Alligator mississippiensis: one gene and its partners. The protein of the gene in region 1 binds, or shares a complex with, the protein of each later gene. Links are inferred from orthologs where the notes say so. Each region holds a gene or a part of one and is shown in the gene's direction. Other genes may lie near its edges.

What was found. The genes of interacting proteins can lie anywhere in the genome.
Region 2: MEAF6 (region 1) and BRPF1 share a complex: the UniProt entries of both Homo sapiens proteins name them as parts of the MOZ/MORF complex. The link is inferred for Alligator mississippiensis from reciprocal best matches to the Homo sapiens genes MEAF6 and BRPF1.
Region 3: MEAF6 (region 1) and KAT6A share a complex: the UniProt entries of both Homo sapiens proteins name them as parts of the MOZ/MORF complex. The link is inferred for Alligator mississippiensis from reciprocal best matches to the Homo sapiens genes MEAF6 and KAT6A.

The regions. Positions count from the first base shown.
Region 1 is NC_081829.1:903,547-910,784, reverse strand, and holds the start of MEAF6 (chromatin modification-related protein MEAF6), read left to right. Parts: upstream 1-4,223; 5' UTR 4,224-4,262; coding exon 4,263-4,361; intron 4,362-4,609; coding exon 4,610-4,725; intron 4,726-4,983; coding exon 4,984-5,071; intron 5,072-5,758; coding exon 5,759-5,804; intron 5,805-6,709; coding exon 6,710-6,902; intron 6,903-7,238.
Region 2 is NC_081835.1:444,833-451,793, forward strand, and holds the start of BRPF1 (peregrin), read left to right. Parts: upstream 1-3,959; 5' UTR 3,960-4,203; coding exon 4,204-4,799; intron 4,800-5,778; coding exon 5,779-6,738; intron 6,739-6,961. Other genes in the region: CPNE9 (copine-9), read left to right, coding at 172-275, 356-460, 665-706, 1,044-1,119, 1,233-1,286, 1,467-1,528, 1,756-1,802, 2,065-2,246 and 5 more. UniProt on the Homo sapiens protein: Scaffold subunit of various histone acetyltransferase (HAT) complexes, such as the MOZ/MORF and HBO1 complexes, which have a histone H3 acetyltransferase activity.
Region 3 is NC_081830.1:17,273,566-17,281,124, forward strand, and holds the start of KAT6A (histone acetyltransferase KAT6A), read left to right. Parts: upstream 1-4,557; 5' UTR 4,558-4,654; intron 4,655-5,217; exon of another isoform or gene 5,218-5,237; intron 5,238-5,517; 5' UTR 5,518-5,569; intron 5,570-5,683; 5' UTR 5,684-5,851; coding exon 5,852-6,454; intron 6,455-7,559. UniProt on the Homo sapiens protein: Histone acetyltransferase that acetylates lysine residues in histone H3 and histone H4 (in vitro). Component of the MOZ/MORF complex which has a histone H3 acetyltransferase activity. May act as a transcriptional coactivator for RUNX1 and RUNX2.

The DNA.
Region 1 (7,238 bases):
GAATAGTGGGATCACCTTTATACGCTCTGGGGTTTTTAAATAAAGAACTTTTGTAAATTTTGCCCTACCTGCTTTTAGCTGTAACATTTTTCTAGTGTCCATGCTGGTTTTTCTTTATATTCCCTTAAATCGATATAATATATATTTTAAAGGAAATCCTTTGAATACAAAGATGGAGAGGGGAAAAGCTAATATAAAGCATATACATTGTCTGTCACTGTTACATTAGCAAGGAAGAGCGGGAGAGAGATGTGTGGTTGAGCAGGAACACTTGCGTCCCTTGCTAATCAAAAGAATGTGTTGTTGCTGTAGTACTGTCTCTTCATGGAAACTGAACTACCAGGGTGATGAGATGAGATCTGTCTTGACAAATGGCATTCCTGTGACTTCACGTCTTGCAGCGCCATATCCTCTGTGTGTGTGTGTGTGTGTGTGTGTGTGTGTGTGTGTGTGTGTACACTTGGAAAAAGGGGTGTTTGTACCTCATTACCCTAGCCCAGACCAGCACCGGGCACACTTCTCATAAGGCTGGGTAGGACCTCTCACTCTTGCCCTTTGGCAACCCCCAAAATTGCCAGGTTCTGGTGTCTGTATCCTGTGAGCACTGTATTGCCTGTTGGTTCTTTTGTCATGTGTTTGCCTTCTGGGTACTATGGTCACCAAAGACATCAGCTTTGTCATGTCGGAACCTACCTGGACACATGTGAAAATGCAGCAAAGCGGAGAGGGGGAGACCAATATGTGGCTTCTGCCCTAGTGTGGTGGCTACACCCAGCGAACCGCACATCCCATGTCTGATTTCTGGTTGTGCTGCTTGATGTGTTCTGGAATGTAGGCATGCCCACCGAGGACGGTCGAAATGGCTGACCCATGGCACCGTGAAAAATGAGCCGTTTCCTCTAAACCTTTTCCTCCAGCAGGTATCATCAGCATATTTAAATTGATCTTAAATTTTTAAAGATTGGCTGAAGATTTCTGTCTCATTAGGAAAAAACCAGAACGCGTAAAACTTAATGTAGCTCAGCACTGCTGTCTTGTTAATGAACGTAACCTGTTTGAATACATTACTCATTCCCAAAAGTGGCACAGAGCTTACAGATTCATGGCTGTGTTATAAAGGGGAAGGAGACTGCTGTCTAATCCAAAAAGGACTTTTCATACTTCTTTTGACTTTGTTTCCTTTTTTGTTGTACACGTCCTAAATAAGTTGCTCAACTGTGACCCTGTATTGACTGGCTTCATGCTGAATCAGTGTCCAGTCCTGGGGCTGGAAACAATGTAAGTGTACAGTACTAGATTTAGGAATTTCACTAGACGATGTACCATGTTATTTTGTGAACAATCCTTTTCTGACTTGACGACCACTGTGTACAATAGCACAAAACTACCATTCTGGTATTGCTGTCCTGCACTGGGATATTTAAGACTAGATCGAAGTGGCTGGTTCTGGTGGAGTTCAGGGCCTGCAGTACACCAATGTTGAGAGTGGTGATAAAAACCAAAGCCCTATTTTTAGCTGTAATGCAACGTCCCAAATAGAATCAAGTGCTTTTCTTGCCTTATTTTTCAGTATAAAATCTCACGGGCTCCCGATGTTGGGTCCCGAACACGTAAGCTGTCATTCTACGTATACTTGAGCACATACCTACAGTCCTCACTTTGCATAGTGTTATGCAGCTGGTGTGCTTAGGTGTTTGCAAGACTGGGCCTTCGCATTGTCCTGCTGCGGTAATTCTTTCCATCTCCCTGCTCTTGTTTTTGTATGAGCTAGACTTGTCCCTGTCAGGGCACGTGCCAACTCGGTAACTGCCAATACAGTCTGATGCTCCATTTCAAGCATTTGCCATTGGCGATTTAAAGCATTGCTTCAAACATCACCTCTTTGTTTTATGTCAAATGGACTAACAACGCGTACTTTTTAAAATGATCTCTAAGGTAGTTCTGTTTGGTTGCCAACTCTAACCCTAAGCAGCACAAGCATGTATATTTTGTAATGTTTTTTCCATTTGAAATCAAATTTTGCCTACAGAAAAGCTTTTGTTTTGCTACAGTATGCGGAAATGCGCGCCAGTTGTATCCTCCTTGAATGGTTGTGTGTACATCTTGCTATGAATGGCACATTATCTGGCATACAGTATGCTCCCAATGTATGTTGTTTGTATCAAGTGACATGTATAGAACTAATTTTAAATTAAAATTCTATAATTTAGTTTTAAATGGTTATGATTGAATGGTATCAACAACAAGGCAAATACAAGGGTGTTATTATTCACGCTGCAGAGACCCTAGTCTGGATTAGGGCTCTACTGTGCTAGGTACTGAACAAACAAGCTCACACCTATTCATAGATTCATAGATGTTAGGGTTGGAAGGGACCTCAATAGATCATTGAGTCCGACCCCCTGCATAAGCAGGAAAGAGTGCTGGGTCTGGATGACCCCAGCTAGATACTCGTCTAACCTGTCTCTTTGTACCTTGGCGGAGATGAGGAGCACCACTGAACATATGTTTTAATAGGTGAAATCTTTCCACGCCCTTCCACCTGGGGCGGTGGATGGTGTCCGAGTGAGTTGAGAGAGGTGGGAGTTGAGGTGGCCCCTGGGCTTCAGAGAACAGCTGGGAAGAGCAAGGCAGGAGCAGGCTAGAGAGCAGACAGATGGGAAACCTGCAGGTGAGGTAACGGGACCAGCTGGCGCGGTGATGCTCAGTGAGTGTGAAGTACCTTGAGATCCGTCCAGGGGGGCCACGCAACCCAGAGAGCTCAAGCAAAGCCACAGCTGTGCTTTCTGACATCTTTGCACCAGAAAAAAAACAGCTCTCTTATTTTTCTGCAGGCCAAAAAGAGTGAAAAGGAAGAGCTGGCATCTTCCCAGGGTGCCTCAAGTCCAAAAAGTTGAGAGCGAGTGAGTGCAGGAAACCATCTCTGCTGCGGGATGCGGACTTCAGTACTGCTGCTCCATGGTCAGCAACCAGGGGCCTTTAACAAGCCCGAGTCCAAGACCTGGCCCGTGCTTCATAGATTCATAGATGTTAGGGTCGGAAGGGACCTCAATAGATCATCGAGTCCGACCCCCTGCATAGGCAGGAAAGAGTGCTGGGTCTAAATGACCCCAGCTAGATGCTCATCTAACCTCCTCTTGAAGACCCCCAGGGTAGGGGAGAGCACCACCTCCCTTGGGAGCCCGTTCCACACCTTGGCCACTCGAACTGTGAAGAAGTTCTTCCTAATGTCCAGTCTAAATCTGCTCTCTGCTAGCTTGTGGCCATTGTTTCTTGTAACCCCCGGGGGCGCCTTGGTGAATAAAACCTCACCAATTCCCTTCTGTGCCCCCGTGATGAACTTACAGGCAGCCACAAGGTCGCCTCTCATCCTTCTCCTGCGGAGCAGGGGTGATTTTGCTGCAGGGGATGCAGTCCCATCGCCCCCGCCCCCGCCCCCAGGTGTTCTTGCTTGGGACCAGCGCCGCGCACTTAGCTCTGTCCACACTGGTAATCGCACCGCAACTGCTGCGTGTTCGGATTAAAACCGGATAGAAACCATCCCTGCAGCTGCTGCACGTTTCCTCGCGCCGCCTTCAGAGCGGGTTGGCTCTTCCTACAGCTGCACGGCCCCTTCTAGCCCGAGCGCGAAGCCGGGAGCCGCGGGGCTGCCAGGGAGCTCCAGAGGTCGCGTCCGGCCCGAGGCAGCACCAGCCGCGTCGCAGCCGCCCTGTACACACCCAGCCTCTGGACCGCAGGTCAGAGACGGCGCGGCCACGGCGCTGGACCACCGCTGTGGGCGACCCACCGGCCGGCTGCCCTCGCCGCCCCAGGCAGCGGCCGTGCGTCCTGCGAGGGCTGACCCGGGCACCCCCAGGGACGCTGCTGCGCCCTTCTCCCCCCCGACCACACCAGAAACACGACTTGTACCCAAACCCGTGGGCCTGGCCCCGCGCACACGCGTGTGCTTACAGACGCGGCGTCAGGGCGCTAGCGACAGCTGGCAAACCCTAGCGCCCACGAGGATGTGTGCGTGTGGTTTGGGGCTTTTGGTTTGCTTGGGGTTTTTTTAGTTAAAGGTAGCGTTTGTAGACGTGAGCCTAGTGCGGCACACTAGGGGGGAGAGAGTGTGAGTGTGTGTGTGAGTGTGTCCAGCTCAGCGGTGCGCGCGCACACGCAGGCGTGGTGCGCGCGCAGGCGGCTGCCGCCGGGGCGCTGCGGGATAAATAGGGCGGGCGAGGGGGCGTGTCCGGGCGGAGGGGGCGGCGCGGCGCGGCGGATCCATGATGGCGGCGCTGCAGCCGAAGGCGGGCGGCCCCCCGCAGATCCCGGACACGCGGCGCGAGCTGGCCGAGCTCGTCAAGCGCAAGCAGGAGCTGGCGGTGCGCGCCCGGCCCGGCCCGGCCCGGCCCGGCCTGGCCCGACGCGGGGGCGTGGGCGTGGGGGTGGGGGATGGGGGCGTGGGGCGGGGCCAGGAGGAGGCTCAGCGCGGGGTGGGTGGGCCCATGCCCCGGCCCCGGCCCCGGCTGCCCGCGGGGGCTCGGGACCGCCGGGGTGGCCGCTCCCCCGGCCCCGCGTGCAGGCGCCGGCGGCTGTAGCGCCCGCTCTGGTTGTGCCCTTTCCCGCGCAGGAGACGCTGGCCAACCTGGAGCGGCAGATCTACGCCTTCGAGGGCAGCTACTTGGAGGACACCCAGATGTACGGGAACATCATCCGCGGCTGGGACCGCTACCTCACCAACCAGAAGTGAGTGCGCGGTCGGGGCCGGTCGGGCCGGCTGCTGGGACGGCCCAGCGCCGAGCGCCGCGCTCCCTCCGGACCCGGCAGCGCTAGGAAGGTGCGAAAGGCACTCCTGGCGCCGGGGTCTCGGCGTGCTCTTCCTTGCGCGCAGCAAGCGCAGCCCTTAGGATGGCGAGCGGGCGCGGTGCCGGGGACGCCCCTCGAGGCGGGGCGAGGCGGGGCGGGGTGGGGGGCGGCGCAGTGAGCGCGCGCGCTGTCTTTCAGGAACTCCAACAGCAAGAACGACCGACGCAACCGGAAGTTCAAGGAAGCCGAGCGACTCTTCAGCAAGTCTTCGGTCACCTCGGCAGCCGTGAGTACCGCGTGCACACAGCGTGACGGGGCGGTGCGCCGCGCCGCGCCACGCCAGCCTCAGCCCCGAGCTTGCCCCCCGAACGCCGCGCGGCAGCTGCAGCCGGGCTGCGCACGGTCCCCTCTGTCACGTCTCGCTCTTCTCCTTGCTTCCAGGTGGCTCTGAACTGCTCTTCTCAGTTTCCCCGGTTGTTCCCTTAGCCGCCTGCTTGCTCGGCTTTCCCCGGGACTGACCGAGGGCAGACCTGGGGTGACCGTTCCTCCCCCTGCCCTTACGGCACTTCTAGCTCGATAGCTGGCAAGTCCTGCCGCAGTCCGTGCCGTGCCCTCCTGCTGTGTGCGGCGAGGGCAGCACAGCGGTGTCCATCCCTGTCCCCCTCTCACAAGCGTCTCCGAGTTTCCTTTCATGCAGTCTCCCTCGCACGCTCACACCTGCCACGGCGCCCAGGAGAAGTGAAGGGGGAGGGAGCAGGACAAGCAGGAAACGTTCGTGCCTTGCACGCCTGTCCTTCCCGCTCTCCTCCTGTGCGAGTCCCTCTCTGGCCCTGCTGTATTGCCGTTCAGCTGGCAGTTCCTGGAGGCAGAGATCATCTCTCTCTCTCTCCATCTGGAAAGTGCCTTGCGCGTGTTTCAGTAAAACGTGATCAATGGGAATCCGTCTCCATAAGTGTCCCCTCTGGTTTTGTAGGCCGTCAGCGCGTTGGCCGGAGTTCAAGACCAGCTCATTGAGAAGCGTAAGTAGCTGCCTGTTACCCGTCTCTGCGTGACTGAGGTGGAAAGAAGGAAACCGTTTGCTTTGGAAAGAGGGCTCCTCCCTGCGGTGCTTGCTGCTTCCGACGCTTGCGGTCGCTTCCCTGCCTCTAGCCCTGTTGCACGTGTGTGTGCGCGTCGGGGGGGTCTCCGTACCCCAGTAGTTCCACTGCTCCCAATTCTGTCGCCATAAGTAATGCTTGCAGTGAAATTACAGCGCGATTCCCTTCCAAAAAAAGGGAGGTTAGTTTTGTGTCCATCTTAAAGCTTTCTGTGCACGAGACGTGCGTGGCTTTGGTGATGGGGGGAGGTAAGAGTCCAGGGTCAGGCTTTGCGTAGTTGCCACTGGAGCCGTGTGCTTGGAGCCGGTGTGAGGTTCGTGGGACTTCACACCTTCCCTCCTGTGTTTGCCTGGTCTGCCCCCGCCTGTGTGACCTAAAGGTTGAGTTATTTTTATTCTTTTTTCGCATTCATTCGCTTCAGGTGCGTTCCTGGCTGATCAGAGGGGCTGGGGGAGGGCAGCGTTCCAGCCGTAGCGCTGACTTCCTGCCTGGTCTAATTCTAATAGTTTTCTTTCTCCAGTGCTTAGGGCATTTTGCTGCCCCTGCTATAGGATGCGGCATGCAGTAAATGCATTCTGGGGTTGTTCCTGCTTCCGGAGTTTGCCCGGGGTTGCCTGCAGCATGCCTCTTGCAGGGGGTAACTTGTCCTGCTCCAGCAGTGTGCTGCGCACTAGAGAACGTCCACGGCCCCCTGAGGCTGCCCTGTGCCCTGTGCTGATGGGGTTTGCTCCTGTTCCTTGGGACCTGGCTTGGGCACTCGAGGTCTGTCTTGGAGCTGAACAGCTGGGAATTAACAGCTGTGCTCTCCTGGGTTTGTTGCGTTTTAGGGGAGCCGGGCAGTGGGACAGAGAGCGACACTTCTCCAGACTTCCACAATCAGGAGAACGAGCCCAGCCAGGAGGATGCCGACGATCTGGATGGGTCTGTGCAGGGCGTGAAGCCCCAGAAAGCTGCTTCCTCCACTTCCTCGGGGAGTCACCACAGCAGCCACAAAAAACGGAAGAACAAAAACCGACACAGGTTAGTGGTGCCAGCAGCCCATGGCAGGCCCTCCGAGCCGCGGGGGTTGGTTGTCAAACAGGCTTTGTCCCGTGGAATAGCCACGTGTGTTAGAGCAGCGGGAGGGACGGGCTGCTGGTTGGCCGGGGTGACAGGCTGACATCACTTTCCTGCCAGTCTCCAAGGCAGTGGGAAGAAGCTGTTAGGTGCCTTCAGTGGGCCTGAGGAGGCCTGTTGGGGTTCCTCAGGGCTGGGGCCAAGAGGGAGAGGCCCTTGGAAGCAGGTAAACTAGTGGCCTGAGCCAGGGAGTGGCAGGAAGGAGTCCCTGATTTCAGCCCCAGCTCTGTTAGGACAGTC
Region 2 (6,961 bases), on another chromosome or scaffold:
AGCGTGAATGCCCCCAGCCCCATGCTGCCCTGCACAGCCCCCACCTTGGCCCAGCTGGAGGGGCCAGGCCTAGAGGGCAGGGCCTGGGGAAGCCCAGGTGTGACAGGGCCAAGGTGGGCGGGGGGGGCGTGAGCACGGACTGCCCTGGCACTGACTGGCCTCTGCCCACAGGACGTGGTCACCATGCAGCTGTGCGCCAACAAGCTGGACAAGAAGGATTTCTTCGGGAAGTCGGACCCCTTCCTTGTCTTCTACCGCAGCAACGAGGATGGCACGTACGTGGGGACCAAGCCGGGCTGGACCAGGGGGCTCCCCGCGCAGCCGCTCTCAGCCCACCCCTCTGCTGCTCCTACAGGTTCACCATCTGCCACAAGACGGAGGTGGTGAAGAACACGCTCAATCCTGTGTGGCAGCCGTTCACCATCCCTGTGCGAGCCCTGTGCAACGGGGACTACGACAGGTTGGTCAGGGCCTGCACCTCCCACCCCCGCGCCCCAGCAGCACGTGCTCCCTGCGGCTCGCGCCAGGCCCAGCGAGCACCCGCAGTTGTGCAGACGCAGCCCTGCCCAGGCGGGATGGGTGCGTGGTGCCCGGGGCTGAGAGGATGGACAGCATTGTGCTGGGGGCCGATGCCCGCTCACCGTGGCTGGCTCCTCTGTTCCAGGACAGTGAAGATCGACGTGTACGACTGGGACCGAGATGGCAGGTGAGGCGTCCCCAGGGCCCTGCTGTCTGGCAGGCTGCAAGCAGCTGCACGAGCCCTGCTGTGCCCACAGGCCTGCTCTTGCCCACCCGTGGCCCTTGGGCCTCCTGTTGGGAGCTGCCCTTGGCAGCATGTCCCGGCTCCAGCACCACAGCCCTGCCCGCTGAGCCTGGGCAGGGCAGCCTCCGCTTCCATCTCCCGGGGAGCATGGGGCTGGGCGTCGAGCCGAGACACCCGGGCTCATCTCACGTGGGGGTGGAGAGGAGCTGCGTGCAGGGCTGGGTCTGGCCTGGCCCAGGGGCTGTGGGTCACTCCCCTTGCACAACCGCTTTGCCCCCAGCCACGACTTCATTGGGGAGTTTGCCACCAGCTACCGGGAGCTCTCCCGCGCCCAGAGCCAGTTCACGGTCTATGAGGTGAGGCCGTGGGCATGGGGCAGGGAGGCAGGAAGGGCTGGGGGTGGCTTTGGGGCAGGCCTGGGGGTGCATGGAGCTGGGGGGGCTGGTGCCTGACCACCCCTCTAAACCAGGTGCTGAACCCCAGGAAGAAATGCAAGAAGAAGAAATACGTCAACTCGGGAACTGTGAGTGCCCCCCGCTCTGCTTAGCCAGGCTGTGCCCCCCCCAAATCCAGCTCCCCGCCTCGGGTCCGGGGCCTGCCCGCGTGCCTGGTGCTCCAGGGAGGACAGGGCTCTCTGGGGAGCCTGTAGGTCACCTGGGCGGGGGCCGCCGGGTGTTTGCAGTCCTGACCCCTTCCCCCGCAGGTGACCCTGCTCTCCTTCTCCGTGGAGTCCGAGTTCACCTTTGTGGATTACATCCGTGGCGGGTGAGTGGCTGTGGCTCCGAGGCAGCCCGGCTTCCTGCTGCCCCCGTGCTCCGAGCGAGCTCTTGGTCGAGCGCCCGCAGGCCCGGGGGCCGAGCACGACTCCCCACAGCCAGGGGCCGCAGGGCTGGATGGGGCCCGGCCGAGAGCGGCAGGAGATGTAGGGGAAGGAGGGGGCTGGTGGTCCAGATGCCTGTGGGGGGCCGGGGCTAGACTCTCCCCCCCCACAGGACACAGCTGAATTTCACAGTTGCCATCGATTTCACGGCCTCCAACGGTGAGTGCAGTGCGGCGTGGCAGCCTGGCTGCTGTGGGGACGGGCTCTCCACGTCTGTCCTCGTCCGTCCGTGGGTTCCCAGGCAGCCGGGACGTGGCCCCCGCACACCTGGCCGGGGATGCCCTGGTGCAGGGCAGGGCGCAGCCCCGACACGGGCCCTGGGGCTGCCCCTAACCGGGGTGGGGAGCCCGGGCTTGGGGGCCGTGGGTGGGGTGGGGTGGGGGCAGACTGCCCGGGCTGAGGGGCCACGCGGTGCTGGCAGGGATCCCGTCGCAACCCACGTCCCTGCACTACATGAGCCCGTACCAGCTGAGCGCCTACGCCATGGCGCTGAAGGCCGTCGGGGAGATCATCCAGGACTACGACAGCGACAAGCTCTTCCCTGCTTACGGCTTTGGTGCCAAGGTCCCTCCGGATGGCAGGATCTCCCACCAGTTCCCCCTGGTAGGAGGTGTGATGGTGGGGGGCTTGCGGCGGGAGCCGGGGGCCCTGCTGGGCAGGGAGGGGCCGGGCCCGTCACCTGCGTCCTGCCTCCGGCTCCGCGGCGAATCCCAGGGGGAGGAGGCGCTTCTGGACACGGGCACTGGGGACAGCCTGCGCCTGGCGCCGGTCCAGACGCCCACCTGCGGCCCGTCCCTGGGGGCTGCCACTGCACCCGTGCGCCCACGTGCACGGAGCCCCCTGCACGCACCTGCGAGGTGTGCACGTGCACACGCACACGCAGCTCCCTGCCCTCTGCCCTGGCAGAACAACAACCTCGAGGACCCGAACTGCACAGGCATCGAGGGCGTGCTGGAGGCGTACTTCCAGAGCCTGCGCACCGTGCAGCTCTACGGGCCCACCAACTTCGCCCCCGTCATCAACCAGGTGGCACGGTGAGCGCGGCGGGGGTTGTGGGGCGGGGGCACGGGGCGCGGGGCAGGGCTGCCCGGCACTGCGCTCTCTCTGCCCGCGCAGGTCGGCGGCGCAGGTGACGGACGGGTCGCAGTACCACGTGCTGCTCATCATCACGGACGGCGTCATCTCCGACATGCTGCAGACCAAGGAGGCCATCGTCAGCGTGAGTCTGCCCGGGGCCGGGCCGGGGCGGGGGCCGGGGCTGGGGCACGCTGCCCGGCCGGGGGCGCCTCTCTGGGCGCCCCGTGACGCCGCCTCTGCCCGCAGGCGTCCGCCCTGCCCATGTCCATCATCATCGTGGGAGTGGGCCCGGCCGAGTTCGAGGGTGAGTCGGGCCGGGGCCGGGGCCGGGGCCGGGCGGGCGGGCGGGCCGGGGGCGCCCGGGCGCGCTGACCCGCTGTCCCCGCAGCCATGGAGGAGCTGGACGGGGACGACGTGCGCGTGTCGTCGCGGGGCCGCTCGGCGGAGCGGGACATCGTGCAGGTACCGGGCGGGCGGGCGGGCGGGCCGGGCGGGCGGGCGGGGGCGCGCTGACCGCCTCTCTTGCAGTTCGTGCCGTTCCGGGACTACGTGGACCGCGCCGGGAGCCAGGTGCTGAGCATGGCGCGCCTGGCCCGGGACGTGCTGGCCGAGGTGCCCGAGCAGCTGCTCAGCTACATGCGTGCGCACGACCTGGAGCCGCGGCCCGCGGGCCCCGCCGCGCGCTAGCCCCGCCCCCGCTGTACCGCCCCCGATGCACCGCTGTACCGCGCAATAAACCGCTCCACTGCCGCCGCCGCCACCGCCGCCTGCTTGGGGGGCGGGGCACCGCGCCGCGGGACACCCCCCCCCACACACATGGGCCCGCGCGCATTGGCTGCGCCCGCAGCTTCGACCACGCCCCCGGGCGCTGATTGGCCGCGCCGCAGCGGAGCGGCGTGCCAGCCCCGCCCCCTGGCGCTGATTGGCCACGCAGCAGCGGAGCAGCGTGCTATCCCGGTCCCCGGCCGCTGATTGGCGGAGCCGCGGCGGCCCCGGGCGGGGGCGCCCTCTCGCGCTCCTGGGCCGCGCAGGAGGCGCTTGCGATTCGCCACCGCAGATTCGCCTCGCGCGGCGCGGCCCGGCCCGGCCCGGCCCGGCCCCCCCGCGCCGGCCCCCCCGCGGCCTCCGGGGCGCGGCCCCCCGCGCCGCCGCCGCCCTCGCCGCCGCCCGCCCGCCGCCCGCCGCCCGCGGCGAAAGTGCGGTTGCTAGGGGCCGCGCGGCGCTTTACCCAGCGGCCGCCCCGCGCCAGGCGCCGCCGCCGCCGCCTCCATTGTTCCGGCCCGGCCCGGCCCCGCCGCCCATGGGCGCCCCGGGCCCGCCGCGCAGCGCCGCCAGCCCGTGAGTGCGCGCCGCGCCGCGCCGCGCCCCGCCCCGCCCGCAGTGGGGGCCGCCCGCCTGCCCAGCGCGCGGCCGGGGGCCTTGGCCGGGCAGGGCCGCGGGGCCGGGGCCGGGCGCCGGGCCGGGGGCCCGCGGAGCCGCCGCCATGGGCGTGGACTTCGACGTGAAGACCTTCTGCCACAACCTGCGCGCCACCAAGCCGCCCTACGAGTGCCCGGTGGGCACCTGCCGCAAGATCTACAAGAGCTACAGCGGGATCGAGTACCACCTGTACCACTACGACCACGACAACCCGCCGCCGCCCCAGCACGCCCCGCTGCGCAAGCACAAGAAGAAGGGGCGCCAGGCGCGCGCCGCCAACAAGCAGTCGCCCAGCCCCTCCGAGACCTCGCAGTCGCCGGGCCGCGAGGTGATGACCTACGCGCAGGCGCAGCGCATGGTGGAGGTGGACCTGCACGGCCGCGTGCACCGCATCAGCATCTTCGACAACCTGGACGTGGTGTCGGAGGACGAGGAGGCGCCCGAGGAGGCGCCCGAGAGCGGCAGCAACAAGGAGAACGCGGAGGCGCCGGCCGCCGCGCCCAAGGCCGCCAAGCACAAGAACAAGGAGAAGCGCAAGGACTCCAACCACCACCACCACAGCGCCGCGGCCGGCGCCACGCCCAAGCTGCCCGAGGCCGTGTACCGGGAGCTGGAGCAGGACACCCCCGACGCCCCGCCGCGCCCCACCTCCTACTACAGGTACGCTCCGCGCGGGGCCTGTGCACCCCCGCCGCGCTCACGCCCTGCCCTGCCCTGCCCTGCAGCCTGGTGGCTGCGTTCCCCCCCGCCCCGCCCCGCCCCGCCCCGCGCGCTGCAGGTCTCTGCTCCGTGCAAGCTCTTCTTCTCCGGCTATGACGGGGCAGTGCAGAGATGACTGGCCGTGGCCGAGCGGGTGAGCTGTCTCGGCACCGCGTGGAGGTCAGCGCTGCGAGCTGGCGGGAGCGCTTGCACAGCTCCCTGGGCCCTGCCGTCTCCGCTGCAGAGCACGATGTGGGCGCTGCTCCGGCGCTGCTGGCTGTAGCAGACGCCTCCCCAGCCACGTGTCTGCGCGTGCTGGCAGTTGCTGCGGTGGCAGGCGGCTGCTGCTGCGGCTGCTGCCGCTGGGCAAGGCACCACGACCTCAGACTTTGTGAATAAGTAAATAAATAAATAAAATAAAAACACAAGTAATGCTCTCCACCCACAACTGGCAGGGGAGGAGCAGAGGCAGCTGCCTCTGCCTGGCCGTACGTGGGAGCACCTCCTTTGTCCTCCCGAGTGCCAGGGACACCTGCTGCACAAGCACCGGGACACGAGAACCTGGCACTGCCGTGCCGTGAAACTGAGCGGTGGCCCCAGAGCAGCAACCTCGGGGCTCGCGCAGGTTCCCCACGGTTGTCTTGCATCAGCGAGTGCCCCGTGCTCCCTCCCTCGCAGCTCGGGGAGCGCTGGGTAGTCCAGCTCAGGCGGCGGTGCTGAATTGTGTCGCCACTCTGGTGGGTGCTGGAGAATGGGTGCGAGCTGCAGCGCACCCTGCTTCCCGGGTCCCTTCTCCATCCCTGCTCTTCCTGGGTCACAGCTGCTTTGTGGCTGCCACGATAAAACTCGCCTGGTCTAACCTCTCCCCTCCCTCCCTGAGGTTGGCTGCGTGGGCCTGCACCCATGCTGGGTGCTCATTCCCTCTCCCCTTCTCTTTGAGGTACATTGAGAAGTCAGCTGAGGAGCTGGATGAGGAGGTGGAGTACGACATGGATGAGGAGGATTACATCTGGCTGGACATCATGAATGAGCGGCGGAAGACGGAGGGTGTGAGCCCCATCCCCCAGGAGATCTTTGAGTACCTGATGGACCGGCTGGAGAAAGAGTCCTACTTTGAGAGCCACAACAAGGGGGACCCCAACGCGCTGGTTGACGAGGACGCGGTCTGCTGTATCTGCAACGACGGGGAGTGTCAGAACAGCAACGTCATCCTCTTCTGCGACATGTGCAACCTGGCCGTTCACCAGGAGTGCTATGGCGTGCCCTACATCCCCGAGGGCCAGTGGCTGTGCAGGAGGTGCCTGCAGTCACCCTCCCGGGCTGTGGACTGTGCCCTCTGCCCCAACAAGGGTGGAGCTTTCAAACAGACGGACGATGGGCGCTGGGCACACGTGGTCTGTGCCCTCTGGATCCCAGAGGTGTGCTTTGCCAACACGGTGTTTCTAGAGCCCATCGACAGCATCGAGCACATCCCCCCAGCCCGCTGGAAGCTGACCTGCTACATCTGTAAGCAGCGTGGCTCTGGGGCCTGCATCCAGTGTCACAAGGCCAACTGCTACACTGCCTTCCACGTGACCTGTGCCCAGCAGGCTGGACTCTACATGAAGATGGAGCCTGTCCGCGAGACGGGAGCAAATGGCACCTCCTTCAGTGTGCGCAAGACAGCCTACTGCGACATTCATACGCCCCCGGGCTCCATGCGCCGGCTCCCTGCCCTCTCTCACAGTGAAGGGGAGGAGGAAGACGAGGAAGAGGAAGAAGAGGGCAAAGGCTGGAGTTCGGAGAAGGTGAAGAAGGCAAAGGCCAAGTCCAGGATCAAAATGAAGAAGGCAAGGAAGATCCTGGCCGAGAAGCGAGCAGCAGCACCGGTGGTTTCCGTGCCCTGCATCCCCCCGCACAGGTACGGCCAGGTACCTCCCTCTCCACCCTCTGCCTTGCTGCTTGCAGCTCAGGTGTGGCCCTCGCTTACAGGCGGCCTCACTGTCCCCAGCACTGCCTCTCCCCTCCTCCCCCACACCTACCTTAGCAAGCCCCTGCTGGCTTTGTTCTTGGGTAAGAGCTCGGGCCTACGCCTCTGCTCTGCGCTGTGCTGTGGTGTCATGGAGGTAGCTGGCCTGGAAGAG
Region 3 (7,559 bases), on another chromosome or scaffold:
CCAGGATGTTACCAATTGTTAGTTAACACAGGGTGCAAAACACAAACAGCAACAAAGAAACAGACCAACCAGCTAACCCAACCCACGCAATTCACGTTCCTCCTTAGATCAGAAAAAATGCCTTTTCATCCAAGTGCCTTATGGCTATCTTGGTTCTTTGGGTAGATGCGATATCTTTTATTAGACCAACTCAAAAGTTGGGGGGGAAAAGTTCTTTGCAAGCTTTTGGGCACAAACACCCTATGTCAGGCCTAGGGAGACTCTGCTGGTGTTGTGTGTAGAAAAGAAGCAAATTTACAACAAGCAGGTCTGTGAAAATGCAAATGAGTGGAAATTAGGAAGACAATGGGTAGAGATGGTGGGGAGGAAGGGAGGGAAATGTGTGGAGGAATGCAAGTGGTCAGCTGGAGGTAGGTTATCTGGGGTGTCAGATGTCAGGCAGGTTGTTAATCCAATGTCTATATTTAGTCCATGATTTTTTGTATCCAGTGGATTTATGAAGGGAAGCTCATGGGATGGTCTACAAAAGGTGTGTTGCAAATTCCCTTATAGCTTCCTTCTCAATATTTGCCCCTAAAGGTAAAAGAGATTATTGCTGCTATTTGTCCCTTCTCAGCTAGTTGGAGAAATAGCTCGATTAGTTTGTAATCTGTTTTTAGGACTGTACGTATGCTTTAAGTGTGAAAAAGTGTGAGGAAGCCAAGCTGAAGAGATAATTTATATTTATTTCTGCTCTATGTGAGAAAATTGGACTTTGTTAAATTGGCAAAGCTAGAAATCTACCCAATTACACAAAAGCTGTATAAAGGTCGCCAACATCTTGGCTCTAAACTGTGAGGCCTGATAGCATTCTTGGCTCAGTATTAATTGCTCTCCAGATCCTTTTTTTAGTCAGTGTCCTGCCAGCAGAGGTAACTTAGGGCTGAATCCACCTGTCATTGAATCCTAGCTATATACTGGCCTTTTGCGGACCCAATCCAGAATATTTTTGTTATGCTAGGTCTTTGAAACTCAGGTGCCTTTCCATCTAATGCCTGGTCCTGTGGTACTGGCTGGCTTCTTAATTTTGTCTTCAAACTCACAGTCTCTTCTGGAGTGTAGATGCATTACTTCAAGTACAACTGATCCAAGAAGCACTGCCAGTAATACTCTATTTGTCACCTCAGAGATAAGGAGGCAGTTGCATCCTACAATAATGGGAACCAGAGGGAGTACCATCTATGTTTAAGTGGCCTAACATAACCCCTGCATTTCTTGCATCTTTCTTTGAGAAGTTCTAGCCTCTCCATTTTTCACATTGAGCCTCTGAAATTCAAGAAAGGGAATCCCTTTGGGTGTAGACCTGTTTTCTTTGTACCTCTAAACAGCATCCAGGTTCAGCTGAATCATAAACTGTTTTTAAAGAGTGCCATTTCCTTCTTTTGCTCATACTCAGCAAAATCATGACTACTTTGCCCCGTTCATGTTGTTCGTGTATCTTCTTCAAAACAAGAAAAAAAGAAAAAAAAAAAAACCCAAATACCTCAAAAGGGTTTTCTTTCGCCTGCAAAAAATATTAATATAAGCTTCTGACTACAATTTCAAGTTAACATGTATGAAAAACCATTTTTTGGGCAAGGGAACAGGTTTCACATTTCAAGCTTGCAGGGAATTATGGAGGAAAGAAGTCGTAGCGATACAATGCAAGATACCTTAAAATCCTTTGAGCAGTTCTGGCCCTTGACAGACGTGAATCTGTTGGGATCTACTTTGAACTATAAACCTTTCAAGAATGTCCCAATCTCCTGCTAGTACCTGCAGAAAGCAATGTGCAGAATTACCCTATTTACTGCTGCAGAAATGCTATCTGGCTGCTTCTGGGCTGTCAGCATGGGGATCATATTTCATTTTGAAAGTAAATAAAAAGCTCTGCCCAGGATTGCTGGAGTTTATATAAACCCGAATTGGAAACTAAAAGGAGAAGAATCCAGCGAAAGATGTTTCTAAAGCAAAAATCAATCTTGCTGGTAAATATAGCAAGACCCAAGGGAACTGGAGGTCAGTGAGGAGCCAGCGCTCAGTTAGAAGGTACATGGGTCTCCAGTGAAAGTTGGATACAACCACAGCCAAGGAGTTAGTCATTTCACAAAACGGTGTTGCCAAACTGTGCATTATCTTGATGGATAAAACAACTTTTTGCCATCTGCAGCATACCATATGCAATGATCCTGCTGGTGTAACTGTCAGATTGTGCTTTGAAAATGGAACAGAAAGAAAGGCAAACAGACAGTATTGGATTTCTGAAAAAAATCCTAATTTCTAAACGATATAACCTTGAACAGTTTACAATTTGCTAGCACTGAGTGACATAGCATGATGGTCCAGGAAATAGGGAAGAGGGAAGGATTTTTGCTGGTGACACCTTTGACTGACCTAGTTGCACAGGCAGAATAGACTTAACTAAGCTTTCAAATGCAATGCGTTCTTCTTTGCATCATAATTTGCTGCTGGTTAAATAATCCTAATATGACTTTTAAAACAGACAAAAAAGTCCAGCAGCTGAGGAGGAAGTTTTAACTTAGTATCATACTTGCATAAGCAATTCTCAGTTTTACTTTATTTTACCCTCATTAGCTCCTGGAAATGAACTTCAGCTCTTCATTACCTCCCATGCACTCAGCACCACAGCTATAATTCAGGGACATGGGGACCCAAACAGGAAGGGGGGAAATGATGAACGTAATAGGGACTCTGAAACCTTTAGGAACAGAGACAGAAACAATTGCTACAGGGATCTTTACATGCTGATGTCAAGCTGCCATCTGCATTTTTCTCTAGGCAGAGACTGAGCAACCAGGATTCTCCTCTGTCCCAATTAACAGTTTACTCCAGCACCCTCCTTCCTGTTCATTCCGCTTCCTCACCTCAGTCTAAGGCAAGAAACCACAGGGGTGGGATGGGGAGCATAAAAAAAGTAAGTCTACAAGAGTACTTTACCAATTCCCCGTCTCCAAAGAGATTAGAAAGTTTGTGCAAAGATGATCCAATCCAAAACTAGACACAACATTCATCCGGGAAGTTCCTGGTGAAATTGTGTGGCTACTGGCCATAGCCTGTTTGCACAGGACTGTACCTTGCACATGTAATCAAAACCAACAGCTAGATCTGAAATAAGAAAAGCTTTCAGAGCTGTCACTTGCAGCCCAAGCAACACTGAACAAGCAGATCAAACGTTATCTAGAGCAAACGGTGCGAATCCAGTGAAACAAGAATTTCTTGGTACCAACAAAGTTTCAGCCCCAAGCTCAGGTCACTCCAGGTACTCCCACGAAGGAGCTCTCTTTGCTTGCACAGAAGCCGGGGGTCTTCAACGAGGCTCTGTATGGACACAGTCACCCACGAGGATCTTACTGAAGCATTGTCCCCAGTTTGTATGTAGGTCTGGAGTCTTTCCAGTGGAAAGGGATTTGCAATTTGGCAAGATCTCAGTTCGTAGTGGATTAGCAATAAAACAGTTTTAAATGTGTACACTCAGCAAAGAGGTTTGAGTTAGAAAGCATCTCCAAAACATGCGTCGTTGTGACCGCTATTCTACGCCACCTCCACCAAAACCCTGTTTGGGGGGGGGGTCCTTATGGTCTCCGAGAGCTAGATATTCTCCACCCTGCACGAAACTAAGAGCTGTCAGTATTGCTCCCCTTGCTCTCTGGGGAGTTGCACACTAAGAAATGTCTCGCCCAGAACGTGGTACGCTATTTCACGAGTTCAGAACTGGACGCAAGGTACAATTAGGGATCGGACACAAACCGTACACCTACTCAGAGAAGATCCTCTGAAGACAGAAGAGGACCCGCAGTCGACAGAAGAGCGCGACTGCCAATCTCGAGGATCCTGGAGAACTTGGACAACCTTTTCTCCGACGCCTCGCGAAGGGTCAAACGTTATCTAGGGCGAATGGTTCGAATCTGGTGAAACAAGGATTTCTCGGTACCAACAAAGTTTCAGCCCCAAGCCCGACAGCTTGCAATCAAACCATTTTTTGGGGTGGGGGTTTTTTTTGGCGAAAATCTCGGCGGTCTCGTAAAAGCTCTCATCTCTACGCTGGGTGACCGCTTAAAAACGCCGCGCACGAACTTGCCCATCCGAAGCGCGAGAAACCACGCCGCAAGCCGAGGTCGACGCGGGAACTCCCCGAGTCCAGGGTCCCAAACTGGCGCGGTCCCCAATGCGGGACCGGCGAAGGGTGTCACTCGCCAAGAAGCATCCGCATGGCTCTTTTGGGGCCGGTCGGTGCAACACCAGGCAGCCGGCCCGGCCGTGTCCTCCCGCGGCTGCCACCTGCTCCCGATGCAAGGATGTGTCCGGGCACAAAGAGAGGCAGCCTGGGGGTAAAGGCGATGCAGCGGTGACACCGTCCGGGCGCTGGGGCAGACCTGCCCCCTACCCCTGGCCGCGGGCGCTGGGACGGAGCCCGCCGTGTCCCCGGCCCTGTCCCTGTCCCTGTCCCCGGCCCGGCTGTTCTAGGCGGCGCGGCCCCGCCCGCCGTGCGCTGTTCCCGCCCGCCGCCGCCCCCCCCCCGCCGCCGCGCTCCGGACCCAAGATGGCCGCCGTGTCAGTTTCGGGCTTCGCCGCCGTCCGGCCGCCGCCGCCCGCCGCCCGCCGCGCGCAGGCCCCGGTGAGTGGCGGCGGGGGGGGCCGCGGGCCGGGCGGCGGGCAGGCGGCGGGGCGGCGGGCGCCGCGGGGGAGGCCGGCCCGGCGCCGCGGGCTCGCGGCCTGCTCCGGCCCCGCCGCCCGCCGCCGCCGCCGCCGCTCTGCGCCAGGCCCGGCCCGCGGCCCCCGCCTCCCGCGCCCGCCTCCCGCCCAGGCCCGGCCGCGCCGCGCCGCGGGGCCGCGGCAGGTGCAGGGCCGGGGGGCGCCGCCCGCCGCCTGGTGCCGAGCCCGCGGCGAGGGGCGGCCGCGCTTTGTCTGCCGCGGGCGGCGAGGCCGGGCACTCGGGGGGCTTCCCGCCCGTGCGGCCGGCGTCCTGTCACCCTCCGCCTCCCGGCCCCAGCCCCGGCGAGGGGACGCCCGCAGGTTTCCGCACAACTTTCTCCGCGCCGCCTTGGCGGGCAGGTGTCGCGGCTGCTTTCGGGACACGAGGAGGGGTGGCCGCGGCGCGCACCCCCCTTTCGCCGCGCGCCCTTTCGTGCCTACACCAGGCACAATGGGGGCGCTTTGGGGTCCGCCGTAAAACCCCGGCCGCAGACAAAAGGCGCCAGGTAGTCTTTCCTCAGTGCGTCGTCCGTCCCGACTCTCTCTGCTTGGGACTCGCCTTGGCTGGGCGGGAACAGCACGGCCTTGTCACCTTCGGCACTCGGTTGTGTCCCTGCACGCAAACGCGGTGTTTTTCTGTTTTCGCGACTTGGCGGTCTCCCGGGGCGGCGAGGGTGGTCTCGGGGAAACTTTGTGAGGCGTCCGTCCGTCCGTAGGATGGCGGAAGTCAGATTTAGGCTTGTGACTTTTTTTGCTCAGAAATTACTCCGTCCCGTTTTCTTGCAGGCGTAACATTCCAGTTCTCTTTCCGATCGCGGTGCGGGAGTCCCGAAGCGAGGTAAGATGTGCTTTGACAGCTTTCCAGCTTTGCCAGGCTTGCCGCGGGAGCGGTGGTGGGATCTGTTGGGAAGCGTGGATCAGCTCCTAATGGGATGTGTTGTGTTTCTTTCAGTTTTAAGAAAATTTAATATTGGATCAAAGAGAAGCAGTTCATATCAGAAACGTGTATGCTATGGTTAGCTGGTTACTCTCCTCCGAGAATCTGTTTTCCCACGGTGTGAAAATTGTGCAGCATCGGGATAAGGGATAACGACTCTATGGATATACAGAAGTCTTCACCATGGTAAAACTCGCCAACCCGCTGTATACTGAGTGGATTTTGGAGGCGATTAAAAAGGTCAAGAAGCAAAAACAACGCCCTTCAGAGGAGAGGATATGCAATGCGGTGTCTTCATCCCATGGTTTGGACCGTAAAACTGTTTTGGAACAACTAGAATTAAGCGTTAAAGATGGGACTATTTTAAAAGTCTCCAACAAGGGTCTCAATTCCTACAAGGATCCCGATAATCCGGGGAGAATAGCACTTCCGAAGCCTCGAAACCATGGCAAGTTGGATGGTAAACCAAACGTGGACTGGAATAAACTGATCAAACGGGCAATCGAGGGCTTGGCGGAGTCCAGTGGCTCATCCTTGAAAAACATAGAGCGCTTTTTGAAAGGTCAGAAGGACGTGTCTGTGTTGTTTGGAGGTAGCGCTGCTTCCGCTTTTCACCAGCAATTGCGACTAGCTGTCAAGCGTGCTGTTGGCCATGGCAGACTCCTTAAAGATGGACCTCTCTACCAGCTCAACACTAAAGCAGTTGCTAATGCTGACGGGAAGGAAAGCTGCGAGTCTCTTTCCTGCCTGCCACCTGTGTCGCTTCTTCCCCATGAGAAGGATAAGGTAAGAGCCTCGGAGCTGACGAAATAGGGTGTAAAGGCTCCAATTTTGAGGTCAGTATTTCATTATGCATCAGATAAGTTGGAAATGGTCTGGGGCCTGTGGTGAATCTTTAAGTGGATGGAGGTTTCTTTTTCTTTCGCATGCTTCTGAAAGTGCTTGAAAATGATCTTGTCCCATTCACTTTCAGACTCAGTGCAGGGGAGTTCGTAGCCACTTTCAAAAAGCATTTCCATTTCCTTTTTTTTAATTTTATACATACGAGTCCTTAGTGCCTCTCGGATTACTTTGACACTTCAGGCAGAGCACTTGGCTGTGGCCTAGCCAGATCTGAGGCTTGGAAGACTGCAGGGTATATAGATATGTGTTCTAATACTCATTTTCTATCACTTTTTGCCATTACTGAAGATCCATGGAGGGTTATGACGGTAAGATGGTGTAGACCACAGCATTGCCCTTTGCAGGACAAAAGAATATAGGCCTGTGCTGAGCACCTTTCAGTGACACTACAGGTAAAAAGCCAGCAGCTTCTTCATACAGTTGCTTGGTTATCGCATCGAGCATTACTAGAGCCTGTAGCTTTTGTTACCAGACCAGTGTAATCAAACTTTTTTGTGACAAGACCTAATGCTGATAGAAATGGAACCGGTGGTGGTAGCAGTAGGAAAATACTATTAAATAAAATCTTGATGTCAACACAACCTGAGAGCAAGACTAGTCATTAGAAATAGCTTTACACTCATTCTACTGTATGCACCCATTCATTTAGTCTGATCATTACAAGGGGGTGTCCTTACGATGAGGTGGGATACCAAAAATCCTGTCCCTTTCTGTACTCCTCAAGTATGCTTCCGTGCAAAACAGCAATTTTAAAATTTTGGTCAAGATTTTAAAGTGCGTGTATGTGTGTGTGTGCATGTTTGTGCGCACACATCCCCATTCACCTCAAACATCAGATATTGTTGCATTTCCTGGTAGCTACTCAGATTTGGAAGGAACTCCACGAATATTCAAAACATATAAAGAGTATTAGAAACAGTGTGCTGTGTTGAGTCGTTTCTTCTGTGACTCTCGCCCTGTTCATAAAATGTAAGGTCATATAGCTGTT